Lonchura striata: one gene and its partner. The protein of the gene in region 1 interacts with the protein of each later gene in a biochemical or structural test. Links are inferred from orthologs where the notes say so. Each region holds a gene or a part of one and is shown on either strand. Other genes may lie near its edges.

Region 1 (10,270 bases):
TTAATCCACAGCCCTCAATTACTTAGAGCTCTGGACAGGTAACCAGTCATTTGCTGCTACAAATGAGACATCTCAAAAAGGGAACTTTAAATGCCAGCCTCCACACGTGCACAGGAAAACCGAGAGACGGAATAACAGGAGTATGCGCTCAAAAATAACATAATGTCATATGTTGAGTCAAACAAAACCTTTGACCTTGAACTCAATAAATTAGGGAGATAAAAAAGAGGAAAAATAAAATAAAATGAGCTACTGTGACAGATCACACTTATCTACCTAAGTGCAAGCAAAAGATACAGGGAAACCATAACATTTCCAATCCATTTACCAAAAAGGCAGAAACACTAGAGAACCAGGACAAGGACTGGAAACACACAATTTTCCTACAATTACAGTAAAACCCAAAGAAATGAAGACCCCAAGCATGCATTACTGTCTGGCTTCTATTCTCCATCTATCACTTTAAAACAAGTAATTTCACTGACACAATTTTATCAGATCACTTAAGGAGCTCAGGTACACACAGAGTGAGGAATAAAACATTTAAATGGAAGAAATACGACAGTTCCCAGCCTGTCAAATGGTACACGCTCCCCAGCCCATTAAGTCACATCAAATGAATTTTCTGGCCTTTTACACCAAATGCAATACTGAAATAACAGGAAAAATATTATTATTGAAATACACAGCCTTCATGATAACTTGTTTTGTTCTTAATCCAATCTGCAACACTAGGAGAGTCCTATTTTTTTCCAGAAGGCAGAGCATTAAGGCTCAATTACACTGTCTTTGCCATAAAGGTGTTACCTTTATGGAACCACTCGGGATGAAGAAAGTAGCAGGAGACCAAAACTTTGATCTCTAATCCCATCTTAACCACATCTGTTTGATCTCGGAAAAAATACTTAGCCTTTAATGCATTAACATTATACAGAACAATAATATGCTATAAATATTGCACAATCTTTATAAGGGCAATGCTCAACAATTATGGTATCAAATTCACTCACCAATTAACCACATGTAATGTAGGTTCTGAAAGTAAAATGCTCCACCAGTAAACCAGATAAGAGACCCACAGTGGATAAAATTATTTTCATCCCTTTTAATGTTTCCCACCTCAAATTCAACAACTTGGTCATGCTTCACATGCAAATTATCATTAATCAAGCAAAAACCATTACCTAGCAAATATATTAATGTTTAATGGGTTTATTTATATTTTAACCACTATGCAAATCAGTTTAACAGGCAACCCACAAAAAAAGGGCTTAAAGGCTGCAGCCTATGTTCAGTGAAATGCAAGCTCTAAAGTCCTTCCAGAAACAGGCTCGCAATCTGAATCCTTTCAGAAAAAAAGCACTTTGGAACACAATTTTTAAAATATACATATACATTACACCTTTCAACCCTTTTTTATATTGTGACATAGAATTATGTGAATAATAATTAAAATTTTGATGACAAAATTTAAGTCACTCAAAACTGCAATATATCCAGTGCATGAATACTTCTAACTAGACAGAAGTTAAGTCATCTGCAAAATGCACCAAAAAAATGGGGTTTATTCTATCTTCTGATTATGGTAAAAGAATGTTTAAGATGAGTAGCTCTGACCATGACCACTTCCTTCTCCAATCAAGGAGCATCCTTCTACTACAAAAGGAAAGAGGACTCTGCACTACATTAAGCAATCATGTCATTGACTCCGTGGAAAAATCAGTGGTAAAAAGTATTTGCTACCAGTCTGGGGATCTGACTATTTTTTCTTCAAGAATTCTAAAAATTCTTGTGTGCTTAAATAACTCTTTTAATAATACTTTAAATTGACAGCCTACCAATAACCTCTTAAAATCAAAACTTTAAAATTTTTTATTTGTGGGTTTGGTTTGGGTGGGTTTTTCATTTGTGCAGTTCTGGGTGTGGAGTTTGGAGGTTTTTTACTAATTTTTTTGTGTCAGACTGTTTTTCACTGAATATTTGTGTTAAATTGCTTCTTTCAACATTTGCCTTACAAGTTTGGCTCCTGTACCAGTCAACCACTGACTCAACGCTCCTGCTCCTTTAGATTCAGAACTACCCAATGAAAGCAAGGGAGGATGTACTTCAAAGACATCCACTCCCAGAAATCAGCAGATACCGAAACCACGTGATTGCATTCACACTGACTAATGAAACAAGCACACCTTCTCTTTTCTCTATAATTTATGGACTCAAAAGGAACGTTTCAAGTAGTTGTTTCTCCTGGTTATTCATATTTAGAAGTGTCCTAGCCTACTTGTATCACACTAAGAAAAATCAATGGATAATCCTCACAGTAACACTCTCAGTTTCAAACAGAATTTTCTCCACTTTAGAGAAACATTTCTTATGAGAAAAGTAAGATTACCTTAAACACCTAGAGAAAAAAAGGCTACTTCTGCAGCCTAACTGCATCTAAAAATCTTACCTGCTACTTGCAGCAGTGTCCATACACTGTCCACACTGAGACCATCACACACAAAACAACTCCCCCAAATCTCCACTTACTATAGCCTGACTGGTTTTAAGTGGGCTGTATGACTCAGACTAGATCCTCACCCATTTTAAAACGTAATTGTCACTTTTCTGGTATTGTCCAAACAAGTGGTCAGATGCTCTAGAGTCAAAAGTAGAAGTTATACCAATAACAGACAATACGTCACTTCTTTCCTCTGCTGTCATCTCCAATGCAAAGAAAATGTCTGAGACGACATCTGACCCCATTCCCAAGCAGCTGAAATGCTACCCAATGTTTACAACTCAAGACCTTTATTCACAGTCTAAATATCAAGTGTTAAACTGTAGGGATACACAGAAGTCAGCTATTTTAATTAATTTCTAGGAGCAGCACCCTGTGAAGTCATTTTTACGTCAGGATGCAGCCCATCACATCAGTGTTACTGGGGGCAAAGTGTTGAGAGTTAAGATCAGCTGACAGTGCTCTTTGCAAGCTGACAGACAAATAAGGGCAAGGCCAGAGTGGCACCTTCAGAGAAACAAAACTCAATCCAGAAGAGCCCTGAGATGTTCTGTCGATGCTTGGGATGTCACCCAGGAAAAAATTCACCTTCAGCAATGAGCATCAGGCAACACTACAGCTAGACAAGATCAAGAGCCAGCAAACTACTGACATCAAGGTAGGCTTAGGAATGGGAAAACCACAAGCAGACATAACATTCAAAGAGTGGAGTTCTCAGGAGATATGCAGAGCTAACATAAGGGTTTGTACTTGCTGAAAATAAAGCGTGATGCAAAACATTCCTTCACCTTTGATTTGATCTTATCCCTCTCCCTGCACAGCCCTGTGTACCAGCCCTGCACTCGCCCCCCTCTGTGCTTTAACTCAGAAAAATGGCAAAACTATTCCAGCAGAAAACCAATAAACTAGACCACAAAAGGGTTCACCTCGCTAAAATGGCAGAAAACCAACAAGCACTGGAACTGTGAAAAGAGTAGGGAGGGGCTATGCAACTGGAAAGAAAGGAACAAGAGCTTGCCTTTTTGGCAGGCTGGCAGCTTGTGAGCCACTGCCTGTGAGGTCAGCTTCCGAGATCCTCCCAGACAGGATGCCTCCCAAAAAGGGGGCCAAAAGATCTCAGACAGGTGAACGGAACAGCAAGGGACAAGTTATTCATAAAGGACATAGTGGAATGTTTCATACCTGTGACAGATTTTGCAGCAAGACTCATTTAAAACACCTACCACGAGTGTCTTACTAACTACCCACACAAAATTAAAACATGAAGTTAGATTAAAATCTAAATTAGCTTTGCATTTTAAGCCAGAAGTAATCACTGACACTTACTGGTTCAAGACTCCCTTTGATTAGAGTACCCATTGCCACTGCCATCTGCTGTCCCCATAAAAATGGATGAAAAACAAGCCCAGGTTTTTCCTAATCGCATTCCCTATTGGGCAAAACACCAATAAAATTGACCCAGTCTGGCATTCCCGGACTCTACAGCAGAGAAGCCAAGAATATATAGACCTCGAGACTAGGCAGGACAGCTCACTAAAGGCACGTCCCCAAAGGCTGCTTCAAAACGAGCCCAGGAATGAATGAAAAGATGGAGCTGGAAGACTCGGAGGAGGCAACTCAGTTTTTTCTTGAACTGGAGTTAAAACTGCTCACGACAGGTGTATGGGAACAACACAGACTGTCCTGTTAACCTCCCCATAAAGTCAGCTAAATCCAACGATTATATATCGAGTTTCATACATGCACAACCGAGGACTGGAAAGCAGCCGCCTCTGCAGCCGAGTTCGTGGCGAAGGTGGGAGCCTGAACGTGAAAAAAACATCTCAGGTCACTGCTGCTATGAGCACGGCGCCTTCACTCAGCACTAGGCAGGCTGGGCTCTCCCAGACCTCCAGAAAAGAAGAACCCCGCAAGCACCGGAGCCGGAGCACAAAGCCATCCCCGAGAGCTCTCCCTGCCCGCAGGGCGCTGCGCGGGCGGCAGCGCCGAGCCCCGAGGTGCGGATGAAGAGGAGCTGCTCGCCGGAGCCCTTACGGCCACCCCGCAGGCAGCTCGCTCCCCCTCACGGAGCTCCGCAGCGCAAACTCCGATTTTTAAAACACAAGCCATGAGGGATACGCGGGGCGGCGGCGCGGCGGGGCGCGGACCCGGCTCTTTGTTCGCCGCCGCGGGCAGGCCCGGCCCGGCCCCGGGCCCGACCCTCACCTCGCGGACATCCTGCAGGCACTCGAGCACGGCGAGGTTGTTGGCCCAGCTGTGCTTGGAGCAGAGCCGCACCACGTCCTCCCGGCACACCGCCTCCTCCGACAGCTTCCACCCGCTGCCCGACCCGCCGCCGCGGGCACTTCGCGGGGCAGCCGCGCCCGGCCCCACCGGCTGCCCCGCTGCGGGCGGAGCACCGCCGGGGCCGGAAAGAGCGGCAGGAGCGCTGGGCGCCGCCGGCCGCGCCGCCAGCGCCAGCAGCAGGAGCAGCGCCGGGCCCGGGCAGCGGCTCCGGACACGTCCGCACGGCGCCATCTTGGATCCGCCACCTCCGGCGTCCGCCCGCCCACCCCGCGGCACGCACGGCGTATGCAAATTAGCGCGCCCGTGACGTCGCCCCAGCGGGACGCGCCCCTTTCCCGCTAGGGGGCGTGGTCGGTTGTGGCCCCTCCCGCAGCACGCGCGGCGGCGCCGCCTCGGCCGTTGTCGCCTCAGGAGGACGAGGCGCCACCCCGGGGTCCCCGCGGCTCCCCGGGCCCGACGGCCCTCGCCGCCCCTCAGGGCTCCAGCACGTCCTCAGCGGCCCCGCAGCCTTTCAGGGGACCCCACCACCCCTCAGCTGCCCCGCAGCCCTTCAGCCGCCCCGCAGCCCCCTCAACGGTTCCCGCAGCCCCGCAACGGCTCCCGGATCGCCTCAGCGGCCTCCGCCACCCCACAGCCACGCGGGGCGACACGGCCGAGCCAGCGGCGGTGCCGGGGCGCCAGGAGCCGAGCCCGGGCGTGCTCAGCCCCCCGGGAAGGCGGCAGCCGGGCCAGCGCCTCCCTCAGCAGGTGTCCAGTAGCTGCAGATTTTGCCCGAAATCTCATTTCCCACTCGCGCTTCGGCTGCCCAGCGACTGAGGAGGCGGGAGACGTAATGGGGAAACTGACCTTTGCGAAAGTGTCTGATGACAGTTCTAGGGAGCTGGTTGATGAGCCAAGTCTGGACAAGGATGAACAAATACAGAAATACAAACAAGAATTACAGAAGAATGAAGAGAAAATGCAGGCGATCAAAGCAAAAATTAAGAACACTGAAGAAGAAATGCAAGAGATCAAAGAAAAAATACAGAAGAATGAAATAAAAATACAGGAGTACAAAGTAAAAATAGAGAGGATCAAGGAAAATATACGGAAGAACGAAATGAAAATACAGATGAAGACAGAACGATTAGAGGATATCGAAGAGGAAAAAAAGAACAATGAAGTACAAAAAGGGTATGTAACAAAAATGTGGACAAACAAAGAAAAAATACAGGATCTCAAAGATAAAATACATAAGAACAAAGAAAAAATACAGCAAAACAGATTAAAAAAGCATGCAGAAAAAATACTGAAGAATGAAGTAAAAATAGAGAATGAAATAAAAACACGTAATGACAAAGAAAAAGTACACGATCTCGACAAAAAATTACAGAGCATCAGAGACAAAATAGAGGCAATCCGAGAAGAAATGGAGAAGAACAAAGAAAAAGAGGAAGCCAAAGAAAAAATACTAAAGAATGAAGAAAAAATACGGAAGTGCAGAGGGAAACTACGTAAGAACTAAGACAAAAAATTGGCTGGCTGCTAAAAACACCCCAAATCTTTAATAAATGCTGACATTCAACTTTCCTGCTGTCATTTCTCCATGCTGAGTGCCAAATTATCAGCTGGATTGATCTTCTGCCTATATATGGGTGCACTCCTGGCCCCTCCTGGGGCAGGATGTAGGGCTGGCTGGAGGGGACGGGATAAATCCAAGAGCCTGGCCCAGCCCTGAGGTAGCTGCAGGGAGCAGAGAGCTGACCAAGGGCAGAAAAAAACATTTTGGCGGTGCCATGAGACAGCTCGTTTTTGAGGTTGGTGGGTTGGCTGCACCTCCTGCACTGTCAGTGCCCGGCATTGTTTTGGGGGCTGGGATTTGGCATGTCACACTCCATAGTGGCTCTGGGCTTTGTCCATGGGAATGGAGGGAAATAGGCTGTAGGTGTGATCAGGTCTCCAAAACAGGGTCTACAATGGCTGATCCCATTGTAGATGGGATCCACAGGTTCTTCCTAGAGCAATAACTGGAGATTGGATGCTGAATTTGGTGATGGATCATCTAAAAGCAGTATTTGCAGCCACACAGCCCCTTCAGAGCTGTGTTTTGGGAATGCTGCAGCCCACTCTGCCCGAGCAGCCAGCCAGACCCACAATTTCACCATCAAAAAATACCTGTCCAAGTGTTGGGGCAGTGTCAGCAGTGGGACACAAGTCCATCACCAGCTCAGCAATCAAATTTTCAGATGTCCTGCCAGGATCTCACTGCACCCTCCTAGGATGGGTTTGCCCCCAAATCTCAGATTTGCTTCCAACAGCAGAAGGATATGGGATACAGGGTGAATCCCCCCTCAATTCCCCTCCTTGTCGACTCCAGGAGCAGTTTTCCCAGCACAAGCTGGCATCAGGCCAAAGTCAGAAGCTTTTGCCTGCATGCCAGGATGCTCCAGCCCTGGCTCAGTGAGGTGGTGTGAAGCAGAGCTGTAGAGTTGCTCCCTTCCTGCCCCAAGCTGCCTCATCCTGCCTGGAAGAAACCTTTCTCTTGGGAATGCCTCTGACTGTCTCACCCAATCCAGGAGCTACCACAGCACCTTGAGCCCAGTGTGGCCACTGACTGCAGCCATGTCATCCAGGTGAAGGCAAGGGCAGGAGAGGGAGGAGCAAAGTCTCCATGCTTCTTGTGTTTGAATGTCACACTGGGACACAGCGTTTGGGAAAGTGGCTTTGTGCTGGCACCCAGGGGCTGTGCAGCTGGGAACACTTGAAAACAAAAGCCAGCAAAATCCAGCCCATGCTTGGCAGCCTATTTGGTTTAGTGAGAATTATTTGAAGAGTTAGCCCAGTGCAAGAGCTGGCTCTGCTCCTTCATCCCTCACAGGATGAAGACAGAACAGAGCAGTGGAGCTGGGTTACAGCTCACTTCTTTCCACCTTTCGGAGACCTCCAGAGACTAATTTTTTCCTCAGGGAACACCTTTTCCCAACCTCAGATTTTACTAAGGATTTACTAAGATTTTACTAATCCTGTGTTGATCACTGTTAAACAGGCATTTCATAAGAGAGCCCTATGCTTACCATGTCCACACAGTGAGTTAAACAAGGAGGAGGTTTTTCTTTGGGGACAGCAACATCTCTGCCTGTGTGATAACCAGCTAGCAGCTCCTTGCAACTACAGCCCCTCTCCTTTAGCAGAAATTCCCTTTTTGCCTCATTTTAAGCATTTTAGCAGCAAGGCTTTCATGCTCTGGGTGTTGCATTATGAGCTTGCAGTCCCCTGCTTTTGGAGTGGACAGCACTTTTCAGTCTCATCACCTTAAATAATAAACCCCATTTATATGGCCCCCAGCTTTGCACAGCAAGGCCAGAGTGAGCTGAGCTGCTGGGACACCTCTTGTTCCTTCCCAGCAGTGTCCTTGCTCTCCAGATCACCACTTCAGAGACAACAAAAGTTCTTTCTCAGTCCATGCAAAGGAGCTGCTCAAATTTTTAATTGGATACAGACTGCTTGCTCCTATATGTCAGTTTGGAATTCCAGCTTAGCCTCCACACAGTGCCCTGAGGCCCTCTCCCTTTTGTGCAGCCTGGCTCAGCTGCCTCCCTCCATAGCTCTGCATCCCTAAAACTTCAGCACTGCCTTTCCCAGTGGTCAATCCTCTCCACCAACAAATCCTGCTGCAGAGAGCCAAGGTGAGCTGACATTCAGTACTATTCATTACTGGCTAAGGCAACAACCCTAGTCTGGTATTTCATTGTTTATTTGTGTGACATACACAGGTTCAGCCTCACTGTTTCAGGTTTTCTTGTAGGTCAGAGACCTACAGTTCTGCTGCTCATCCACACTTGGAAATAAGCAGAAGACTATGGAAATACTCACCTTCCAAGGAAGCTGTGGACAAAGAGGAGACAATATTTCAGCTACAACCCTGTGAGTGTTGAGTGCAAGGGGAGTTTTGTGCCTCTCAGGCACAAAGTTTTGGCCTAATATGACCTGTTTTTCCCCAGAGAGTGATGCTTTTGACACATCTTTGCCTCACAAACCATCAGAAGCCCCAGGCCAAAACTGCAGAGACTGTTGCCCCCAATACTGATGTGGATCTGTCTTGCAGTTAGCACCTACCATTAGCAAAAAAAGATATGGGCAATTTTCCAGCCCTCCTCCAATCTGCCACAGTTCTTTCCCAATTCCACTTATGCTTTCCCAGGCACTCAGTGCTGCTGCCAGCTTGACACCATCAGAAGCAAAAGGGACTCACTCCCTATTCTGTGATCTCTACCACTAGTAGAAGTACCAAATTGGACTTGATGCAAAACTAAAGCCCCTGGACCCTCAAATTAATTACGCTTCACAGGGTGGGATAATTACTGAAATTAGTTTGAGACATTTCTTTACTCTTGACCAGCACATGCTGGAGAGAGCGTGTTACCTGTAAAGTTTGTCTCAAGGATAAGCCTTCTAGGACATAGGTTCCCAAATTCCTTTTTCTTTTGCACTTAGAGGCACTATTTTCACAGAATATGCTGAGTTGGAAGTGACCCACAAGAATCATCAAGTTCAAGTCTGAGGCCTACACAGGACCATCCCCTAGAGCACACTATGTGCCCGAGACCATTGCCAAATGCTTCTTGAACTCTGCCACTGTTGGTGATGGAACCACTTTCTTGGGCAGCCTGTTCCAGTGCCCAATCACTATCTGGGTGAAGAATCTTCCTGACATCCAATCTAAACCTCTCCCAAAAGAACTTCAGGCCATTCACATGGGTCCTGTCACTGATCACCGCAGTTAGTAGAGATCAGTGCCCCTTCTGTTCCCCTGATGAGGAAGTTGCAACTGCAGTGAGGTTTTCCCCCCAGTCTTCTCCAGGCTGAACAGACCAAGTGACCTCAACCACTCCTCATATGGTTTTTCCTCAAGGCCCTTCACCATGTTCCTTACCCTCCTTTGGACACTCTCTAACAGCTTAATAGCTCTTTTATATTGCAGTGAGCAAAGCTGCACACAGGACTCAGGCTGAGGCTGCAGCAGAGCAGAACAATCCCATCCCTCGCTTGGCTGGTGCCACTGTGCCTGATGCACCGCAGGACAGTTTCCCACAGGCCCATAGAATGCAGCGCTCTGTAACACCAGGGCACCCACAGCTCTGGCTGCCATCTGAGCACAGCCACCTCCTTCAGTAAAGAGAAGTAATGTCAGCAGGAGGCATTTCTGCCTCCTCAGCAGTATGTCTAAATATCTTTATCATAAAAGCAAATAAACAATGATAAATATCGTTATCATAAGTGAGGGAGGCTGCTGACATCAACATGCCTGAGTGCTCACAGGGCACAAGAGCAGCTCAGCTGAGGGCAGTCCTGTTGCTGAGGCATTGTGACCCACTCTGCTCAATTTTCCAGGTGACTCTGCAAGACAGCTGAACTGTTTTTTCCCCGTATATTCTCCCTTTCAAAACCAGCAGAGAGGCGAGTCTTTTAAGGAATTTACTGCCTTGGTAGAAAATCTGAAAATGT
Region 2 (9,981 bases), on another chromosome or scaffold:
AGAACTGAAATCTGGTTGCAGGGTTTTCATATATATAAAAGAAATCAGCATTTCCCACAAAGATATTTTAGGATTTTCCTCCTCTATTTTCAAGCATAATGAGTGATTTCGTTGGGCTTTTGAATATATGGACTTTACTACATGTTCTAGCTCACTGGTTGCTATTACCACCACTACTTCCACACCTCATCTGACTAAAAGTACAGGGCCACCTCTCTGTGGCTGCTTACAGGCAAAATACCTTCACATGTGGGCAGGCTGGCACTCCAGTTTCCTGAATGGCTGCACTCGAGAACACGAGAGCCATTGAGACTCCATCCTTCAAGGCAGCTGAAGTGGCAGGAGGTGTTGTAGGTGAACATCCCAGCCCTGTGGGAGCAATCCATGGAGCCTTTCTCAGGAGAGCTCAGTGGTTCACACTGTATGACTGAAACACAAAAAGATATGGTCATTCCTGCTGTAGAGCAGCGAAGAATGCAAGAAAAAAAAAGCAAGAAGTTCCAAGCAAACAAATAGTGAAATTTCTCTATATTTTTCCACATTTTGCATCCATATAAATTTTTGGCAAAAGAACACAATTGGAACAACTAAGGACTTTCCTGTCTTTGGCCCAATTTTTTGCACTAGTAGATGTACAATTTATTTTCAAATTCATTGGACTTTGGGATGGGAGCTGCTCAGAGTCATGTGCAGGCATTCCGAGGCACAGTAGAAAACATGGGAGCACAGCATTTAGTTTGGAGCCAGGGCCCTGTAGAAATATGGATTTCTGTGTGTTCTCCAGTGACCAGAAAACTGCAATTTCCAACAGTCTTACCTTTGCATTTGGGCACTGGCTCGGACCACTGTCCCTGTGCCGTGCACTCAGTGCTGGGCGAGCCCTCCAGGACATATCCCTCATCGCACTGGAAATCACAGCGTGAGCCAGAGGTGAGCTCTGCGGGAGCGTGGTCACAGCTCACAGAGCCTTCTGCTGGCCGCGGGACAGCCTCACACCTCACAGCTGCAGCACAAGGAGCACGACAGCGATCAGCACAGGGGCTTCGGGACAGCACCAGGCACTGCTGGCAGCCCTGAGGGCTCAGGTGAGCAGGGATAAGGGAATTACCTGCACACGTTGGCTGCTGCCTGTCCCAGGCCCCTGAGGAGCCACATTGCAGTGTGGCTGGTCCTGTCAGGGTAAATCCTTCCTCACAGGTGAACTCACAGGTGGTTCCCCAGGTGAGCTGCACGGAGGGATGGGAGCAGTTCACAGCCCCGTGGATGGGCATTTCCAAGGCAGGACAGGTCACAGCTGAAAGGCACAAGGGACAGCACAGAGCTTAGCTTGGAGTAGGTCAGGATAAACACTCTTCTAGGAGCTGGCAAGGAGACATGCCCTGCCTGGAGCTGTCCCTGACAGAGCCATCATACCTCCCTTCAGACCTAGCAGTGCAGAAACAGTGATTTCAGCAGGTTGCACAGTGCAGCCAGAACCCCTAAATATGCAACCAAAGCATACAAGTCATCCTGGGAATGGCTACACATTAATTTCCACCCTGGACTGCATAAACTGACACTTGCTCCCATTTGGGGTTTAGGGTATAAAGAATCCCTGCCAGAGCACTCCAGTGTCAAAGTGTGCTACTGTGTGTGATAGAGGCACTGCCCCAGAGTGTTATCATCCTGCACTGCTGTTTCCTCACTACTACACAAGGCTAAATGACCCCCACCTTAAGATCTGCTTATGAAAAGCGCTACCAATGTGGTGGGGATGAATGCTACTCTGATTACATTTGATTGAGAAAGTCTGTTCAGATTCTTCCAGCTTTAATCGATGGTTTCCAGCCCTGCAAGTCTTACCTTTGCATTTGGGCACTGGCTCGGACCACTGTCCCTGTGCCGTGCACTCAGTGCTGGGCGAGCCCTCCAGGACATATCCCTCATCGCACTGGAAATCACAGCGTGAGCCAGAGGTGAGCTCTGCAGGAGCGTGGTCACAGCTCACAGAGCCTTCTGCTGGCCGCGGGACAGCCTCACACCTCACAGCTGCAGCACAAGGAGCACGACAGCGATCAGCACAGGGGCTTTGGGACAGCACCAGGCACTGCTGGCAGCCCTGAGGGCTCAGGTGAGCAGGGATAAGGGAATTACCTGCACACGTTGGCTGCTGCCTGTCCCAGGCCCCTGAGGAGCCACATTGCAGTGTGGCTGGTCCTGTCAGGGTAAATCCTTCCTCACAGGTGAACTCACAGGTGGCTCCCCAGGTGAGCTGCACGGAGGGATGGGAGCAGTTCACAGCCCCGTGGATGGGCATTTCCAAGGCAGGACAGGTCACAGCTGAAAGGCACAAGGGACAGCACAGAGCTTAGCTTGCAACAAACCATTAAAAGTATTTTTATTTTTCTGAAACTTAGGAACACATCCAGTAAACAGGAGCAGCTGTAGAAAGGGTTCTACTATGCCACCATCTCAGAAATCAGATAGAAGGGGAAACATTTTTAAAGGGAAACTGTCTCTTCAGACATGATGGTTAATTCATCTGCAGCTCATGACAGCAACTACTTACAATCCAAAATTTCCCTATTTTGACTGTTGCCGGGTGACCTTTGATGCTTTCATTTGCTTAGAAAAGTATCTCATTCTAAGCTAAACACCTCAGAAAATTATTCGTACAGTCAGGAGTAACTGGCCTGTTGAGAGCTGTCTCACACCTAGGTCATCTCAATTCCCTGTTTCTACCTAAGAGTTGGAAAAATCTTTCCCTGCAAGAACAATGCCAGAACATTCATCCTACTCATCTCACCTCCTCAGAAACAGAGACCTGTGTGCTGAAATAAAACAGCACCTACACCACATAATGTGTTACAAAGGAATTGGCCAAACTTCCATTTGTTCCTGCTGCCAGAGCAGCACTGAGGTGTACAGGGCCATGTGCAATGCAGAAAGCTCACCTTTGCATGCTGCAAGGGGGGCAGACCAGATCCCAGAAGAGGTACAGTGGACAGATTCCAGTGCAGTCAGCTCATAGCCCTCCTCACACTGAACTGTGCAGGACGAGTTGTAGCTGAAGTCCCCCAGTGGATGGTGGCACTCAAGGCTCCCATGATCAGGTTTCTTTAGTGGATCACAACTCTTAACTTCAAAGAAGCACAAGAAGGTACACAGTCAGTCTCCTTAGCTGAGCAGGTAAACCAAGAAGCTAAATTGAACACTAGGTAGCGTGAGTTGGTCAAAAAGCAGGATGACATAATCTTACCAAACTCGCATTCAGGCCCATAGAAGCCAGGGTCGCAATGGCAGGTGTGGTTGTTGATAGTCTCTATGCATTCTCCATGGCCACTGCAGAGAGATGGGTTGCAAGAAGCTGGAAAAAAAAAAAACAAAACAGGCAAATTATGAAAGAAGCAACAACAGCCACTAAGAAAACCTGGCTAGCACTTTATCTTTCTGACACTAAACGACCCTTTGTATAGCAAAAGAAAATCAGAGGGTTTGGTATTTAGGATTCTCCTGTCATTTCACAGAATTTCTGAAGTGCACATGTTTTACAGACTAGCTCACAGTAAAAGGATTCTGTTGGCTGGGAACTCCAAGACCACTTGTTCTGGGGTAAATATTAGATGAAGTTAAAAAACTCATCCCAGCCACCACCTAAGATCCCCAGGGTCACGCTGGAGTGACTTTTGTCATGCTGTACCTGTGTAGCACAAGGCAACCTTCTTTTTCTCACACTGCTCATCATTCCATTTGCCATCATCCTTCCCTCTTTTGATGTAGATCTCAACGCAGTCCTCGTTGTTCCCTTTGCCATTTGGCTCCCCTGAAGCCCAGTTTCTTGCTTCTTCTGTCAGTTCTTTGTTAGTTCCAGTCCAGGTCCATACGCCATTAATTTTTCTGATTCCAATCCAATAGTAACCCGGATTGAAGGGTAAGAAGGCATTGAGGTGCTTGATTTCCTCCTTGTTCTGGATTGCAACCAGGTTAGTATACTTCTTTCTGCACCACTGCTCTGCTTCCCTGTAGGTCATGTTTTTGTCTGAATAATGGTATGTCCACCCTTTCACGCCCTGCAGCACTGTAAGTCCTAGAATAAGAAAATATCCAAAAGTTGGTGTCTGACTTCTCCCCTCATCTCTCTCTAGAAGAGGACATTTAAGCTCTATAAATACTGCAAACTTGTCAGTATCTGAAAATGCATAAAAACTACTGGTAATTATTTTATAAACAATCACCTGGCAAGCTTCAAACCAGGCAAGTCAGCTTCAAGTACAGGACTTCAGCCTGTGAAACTATGTCTGATCACACAAAGCTTTGAGACTTATAGGAGCCAATTATGGCTTTGACAGGCAAGCAGGGAAAACGTGCCACTGCATCCAGAGGTTCTTCTGTGTGAACATAGCCTCAGGTTAATTACGGCAGGTTCCAAAATTCTCTTTGATGCTGAGCTCAAACAAAACAGTCACACTAATATTGCCATCCCACTAGTTTTTCATACAGAGAAATACACACTTACCATAGGTAAGAAGAGATAGGAACTTCAAGCAAATCATGTTTCTGAGAGTTTTCTCTGTCTTTTAAGCAGATGGCTATGAGAAATCAAAGAAACACATTTGTAAAAAACAAATAGTGAACTGTCAAAATTCCATATAAAGTACTGACCATGCAGTGATGGAGACTTTAAAAGCACTTTATTCATGTTCCTGCATGCGCAGTGGAAATGAAGATGTTTGCAAACAGCAGGTATTCTACTTCCATGAAGCTCTGGAAAGTGATTCTGCCTTAGGGAAATGCACTGTGCAAGGAGGAATCATCTGGAGGAGTTTTAGGAACATGGGCTCCCCCAGATTTTTCAATAAGCAAAATTAACTCTGAAGAGCAGATTTTTCCTGAGCTTACACCTGAGGAAAGAAGTTTATGGTATGTACTTTTAAACAAGTAGGATTTCCACAAATTATTCATTTAAAAACAGTTTTTAATATCAAGATACTTTAAAATGTAAGCAGCTTTTATGGAAGATGAACACAGATTTCCAGTTCTCCTTTAGCTGGGCAGTGAAACAGAATAGCAGAGTTCATTTCTACTCACCTTTTGTAGCTGCAGTGTCCAGGTGACAGAATTCCTCTGCGCTGCTTCCCAGAGACTGTGGCTAAGTGGATGAACTCAGCCTTGAAAATCAAGTTCAGCTCCAAGTGTCTGGACTCTGTAATGCCCTGCCTTTTATCCCCTCAACTAGCCTGCCCTCCACGAGACGGGAAATTCCGTGTGGAAAAAAATTTCTTGGAAAATCCCAGGATCCAGCCCTCCCACACGTCAGGACGGATGTTTCCTCTTGCCAGATCAACCCTCCCAGAAAGACACACTGTGCTGACAGAGTGCCAAGTGCCACATTACACACTTTTACTGACAGAAACCCGCAATTCCAGGATATCAAGGAGGAGGAAGACAATTAGATTGAATTAAATGCATGAATAAGCAGATTCCAATATTTCACCTGGCATAATGTTTTGCAGTAAGGAGGCATCAGTTCTTCAGGTATCTCGGTAGGAAAGGCGCCAACACTCAAAGCTGGTTGACCAAGTTGGACCAAAATTGGAAACTTCAGCACAGGACAAGCCCTTCCTTATGGATCTCAGCTGTGCAGAGCTCTCACTTGTGGTCAGGTTGCTGGAGTTCTTCACAATACAGGTTCATCAGTCACTTGTAGCAGTCAAGCTTGAAACGTGGACCTTGCTTTGAAGAGTCCCTTGGACCATATTCTTCAATGTCCTGATCTCAATAGAGTTACAGCACCTGAACAGGTGCATATAATATTTCAAGTGGACAAGACAATACACTAGGAATTAATTCACATTTATTGTGTATACCCTGATTAATTATACTGCTGCATAAAACTTCACCATTATGGATGGGATTTTATGAGGCTGAATATGCAAAGAACTCAACAAGTACTGGCAGCACTTCACATCTGTAAAGCATAGTTTGAGTTTATACAGTGCATGTTGGAGCTCTGATTTTGGAGCCTCAGCCTGTTCTTACAGAATAAAAATCATTGGCTTCTGTATTCCAAGCTAACATCAACTGGTATTGCCCAATTTTACTGCCCAAAAAAGAAAGAACTGTCAAGTAGCCAAAGATCTCTGCCCATCAAAGAAATTATTTCAGAAAAGAGCATGGAATAAAGAGTATATTCTAAAACAGCCTCAGTTGCTAACAAATCAGGAGAGCTGACTAGAAATTGCAACAAAGTCTAAGAAAGCAAGTCAGCTACTGAAGAGAGTGAGGATTAAAAACACACACTGAGTATTTGTAGGCAGAGGAACAGTTTCTAGCATGTGTGAACTAGCAAAGCTAGAAACACAAATCATGAAACTCTGGAAAGCTGAAGTTAGCTTTTGGCTGGCCTGGGCAAGCCTTGCTTAGAAGCACCAGACATCCTGAGGCATCAGATCAGGGCTGCTGTTTATTTAGCCTCAAACTGGGAATGAAAACTCTTCCTGTTTGCCAGCCCTTCTCTGGTAGGGGGCTTTACCACCTGAAGGACACAGACAGAAACTTGTATTTTAATGCACCTGTCCAGCACATGATGCAGCAGAGCCTAATTTCAACATTATTCTACTACAAACTAATGTTAATCAGTCTCAATAAGGCAGGGGTTTTTGTAGTGTTGTGGGGTTTTTTTGGTTTTTTTTTTTGTTTTTGTTTTTGGTTTTTTTTTTTTTTTTGTTGTTGTTTGGTTTTTTTTTTTGTGTTGTTTTGTTTTGTGTGTTTTGGTTTGGTTTGGTTTGGTTTTCTAAAATATTGATCAGCTGTTATAACTCTATGCACAGAAAATTTACAGAAAATTTTAGGACAGTTTTTATGCTCCCAGGTGCCAAGAGGCAGAAAATGCTACACCTTTTCCTGAAGATTCCCTTTTGAAAGTCATTTAATGAACTTCCTACTGGTAAGCACTCATCCTTGTCATGGCAGAAGCTCTGAAAAAAGCTCTGAGGAGACTTCATCAGAATTCATTTGCCAATGGAATCTCCGGAGGAAGGAAGAGCTTATTTCACAGTTTACAGTAGTCTTCCTTTTCAGGAGCTGTCTGAGACCTCTTGTCTCCAGCAGATAAAGCAAGCCCCACAAAAAATAACAACACACCAAAGCCTACAAGCAATATGCTTGTAAAAATTCCAGCCTAAAAAAAGACTGTTTCTTTTTGTTGGCTGTATTCCCTTGTGCATAATTGCCATGGGGCTCTTTTTGGTTTTTCCCAGGGAATTCTGCTATTCACTGATTATATTCTTATTTCCCTGTAATGTACTGGAAGATGGAGGCAAAATTTTCAGGAAAAAAGAAAGCCTGAAAATCATTCTCAAAACTCCACAATAAAGGTTAAATCCTCTTTATTAAAAGTCAAAGGCACTTAAAAACTTCAGGGGGACTGGGATTCCTATGAGCTAAAGCTCATCTTGGATGCTAAACTACATATATATTTCAGGAAAAGTACCTGTGATACAGTTACTTAGGTGGAACTGGAGATAATCAAGCTAAAATGCCATGCAGCATGAGCTTAACTGCTTTCTGTGTTACTTATTTATTCTCGTCTCAAAGCTATTTCACATTCATGCTTTTTTATTCTTTTTCCAATTGATTTGGGAATGTAAGATCCTCATTTCTTATGCGGTACAGAGCTGGATGAAGTTGCTGCTCTCTTCTTATATTACATGAGCACAGACATAGTTTCTTAAATTTAATACAATTCCTCTCTGCCAGGAAAACAGGAGACTCTAAAGACAAGTTTTTAGAAATGCTGAACACTTCTTGTTCCTATACACTCCAGAATTTCATTTGCACAAGTGAAGGCCCAGCTTTTTACAGGGAAATCCCCACATCACCTCTTTTCCCTTACAAACAGAGGTGCACTGACAATTATGTAGCCACAACTAATTTTCCAGTTGGAAGGTTCACTTAAGAGGCCACTATGAGACACAAAGGATAAGAAAGGGCTATATAAACATATTAGGAAGAAAAACAATAAAAATCCAGCCAGGTCTGCCATTTAAAGGGCAGCAATTGACAGAGGACATGTCAAATGTTGTTTCTTTTTATATAAAGGAAAGTTAATATTCATGGCAATAGTGTGGGAAAAGAGAACAGGTCACATTATGGAGTGAAGACCATTTAGGTTGGTTACAACCAATCAAGCAACAGTCAAAAGATCCAAACCCTCAGTAATTAACTTTGAGAATATGAGCAAAAAGGTGTAAAAAGTTGGACAAAAAGCAAATGTTGCCTCTCTGTATCTCAGAAAAGAAGATCAAGGTAATTAGAAGCTGAGCCTTCCACGTGAGCACCTAGAAAAGACACTAGAACATTGAAAAATGTTAAAGAAAACCACTGAAAAACCAGCAGAAGGCTGCTAAGCTGTCGAGAACAGCGGACATTGATATGATTGATCTGTTCCTGGCAGATCAACCTGGCTTGTGCCTCAAGGCTGTGTCAGTAATAAAGAAACAATAGTGCAGTGTGGTTCGTTATAATTAAGATTTTTAATACCATCCCATGAGACATTCTTATGAGGAAACAAGTGAAACAATGCTTAGCTGAAATCACCATAAAATGAGCACACAAGGGATGGAATCACTACTCAAAAGGCAGATTTTCAAAGAACCCTGTCTGTCCTAGAGAACTGTTTTATTCCCACCCCACTGTAAGAAAAGGGTGCTGGAGAAAAGAAAACTTTACAATCTTCTAAAACCCAAAATGTGTTTTAGAGAACTTAGGAGGCACATGATCAACAAAGTTCTACTTGGTACATAACAAGTAGCAGTGGATTGATTTGTAGCGACAAAGTTTTAATTGAAAGTTTTCCAAAGAGGCCACGAATTGCTAAGACAGGGGTTTTGTAGAGTCTGCCTCTCTGTTGGAAATTTGTAAGTTTTGGTTTGAGAAACTTTTTTTTCAGTATCTCTATCAGTATCTCAATACTTTATCTGAAACTCTGTTGAACTTGAAGAAATCACAAATCCAAGACAAATACAGAATGTGGTGAGATCCCAGGTGAACAGAGTATATAGATGTACATTTGTACATGTAGAAAAAGACAGATATTAATTTCCCATGTCTTTTTAAAAGACTGGTTCTTCATCTACAAGATTGCATCTGCATTTATGTATCAACAGACAAAAACAGAGCTTTAAGAGCCTCTGAGTAATCCAGTTCCTTCTCCTAGAAGATATTTTTGTCATTCCTAAATTAAAACACTTGATAAGTATTTATCTCAAAGTGCTTTGTATAATGGATATTTATCCCATGGCAAAGAGTCATAGAACCACTTGAAATTTTGAAACAGTGGAAAAACCTCCAGCTTCGCCCACAGTAATACTAGGAGAGGAAAAGTAAGAGATTTAGCCAGCCTGGAGGGGGAAAAGGAGTTCTAGTGCCAGTAGGGAAGGTGTTTCCTGTTAGGAGAGGAGCTTGCAACACTTAATTCTTTAGTAATTAAGAGACAAAGGGTTTAAGGCACAAGTTTTCCCTGAGGTCCAGATGGGAAGAAAAGATAATTTCTGAAAACCGTACTCATCCCTCAGCCTCTGTGTCTGATTAAGTATGAATAAAGCAAGCACTGCAACAGTTACAAAGACGCTGGAATTTCTCAAGGCTGCCTAAGGCAGTCTCCACTCTGTCTGGAGTGGAACCCAGGAGTCAGAAAATCTTATCTCCACTTCTCATTTCGGGAATTCTGATGTGACTCATAGTGCTCAATTTCCTCCAAACAGGCAAAAATACACATTGGAGAATCTAACCTGAGGCTGGGGGTCACTTGCACTGGCCAGGTGTGATTCAGAGCATTGAAACATGAAACAAGAGCCAAGGAGTAATAGAAGCAACAACTCACACCTCGAGATAAGATAAAAGCAGGAATGGCCTTAACACTACCTGCAGCTGCAGGTGGAACTGATCCCATGCAGAACTTGATTCTTTCTAACTCCATTGTTGGAAATTGTGGCAGAGAAG

What was found. The genes of interacting proteins can lie anywhere in the genome.
Region 2: the proteins of GLG1 (region 1) and SELE form a complex in vitro, tested with the Homo sapiens proteins (2 studies listed by BioGRID and IntAct). The link is inferred for Lonchura striata from reciprocal best matches to the Homo sapiens genes GLG1 and SELE.

The regions. Positions count from the first base shown.
Region 1 is NC_134615.1:15,916,626-15,926,895, reverse strand, and holds the start of GLG1 (Golgi apparatus protein 1), read right to left. Parts: upstream 5,027-10,270; 5' UTR 5,018-5,026; coding exon 4,706-5,017; intron 1-4,705. UniProt on the Homo sapiens protein: Binds fibroblast growth factor and E-selectin (cell-adhesion lectin on endothelial cells mediating the binding of neutrophils).
Region 2 is NC_134611.1:1,047,628-1,057,608, reverse strand, and holds the start of SELE (E-selectin), read right to left. Parts: upstream 4,533-9,981; coding exon 4,496-4,532; intron 4,067-4,495; coding exon 3,680-4,066; intron 3,347-3,679; coding exon 3,239-3,346; intron 3,120-3,238; coding exon 2,934-3,119; intron 2,320-2,933; coding exon 2,134-2,319; intron 2,029-2,133; coding exon 1,843-2,028; intron 1,295-1,842; coding exon 1,109-1,294; intron 1,004-1,108; coding exon 818-1,003; intron 428-817; coding exon 242-427; intron 1-241. UniProt on the Homo sapiens protein: Cell-surface glycoprotein having a role in immunoadhesion. Mediates in the adhesion of blood neutrophils in cytokine-activated endothelium through interaction with SELPLG/PSGL1. May have a role in capillary morphogenesis.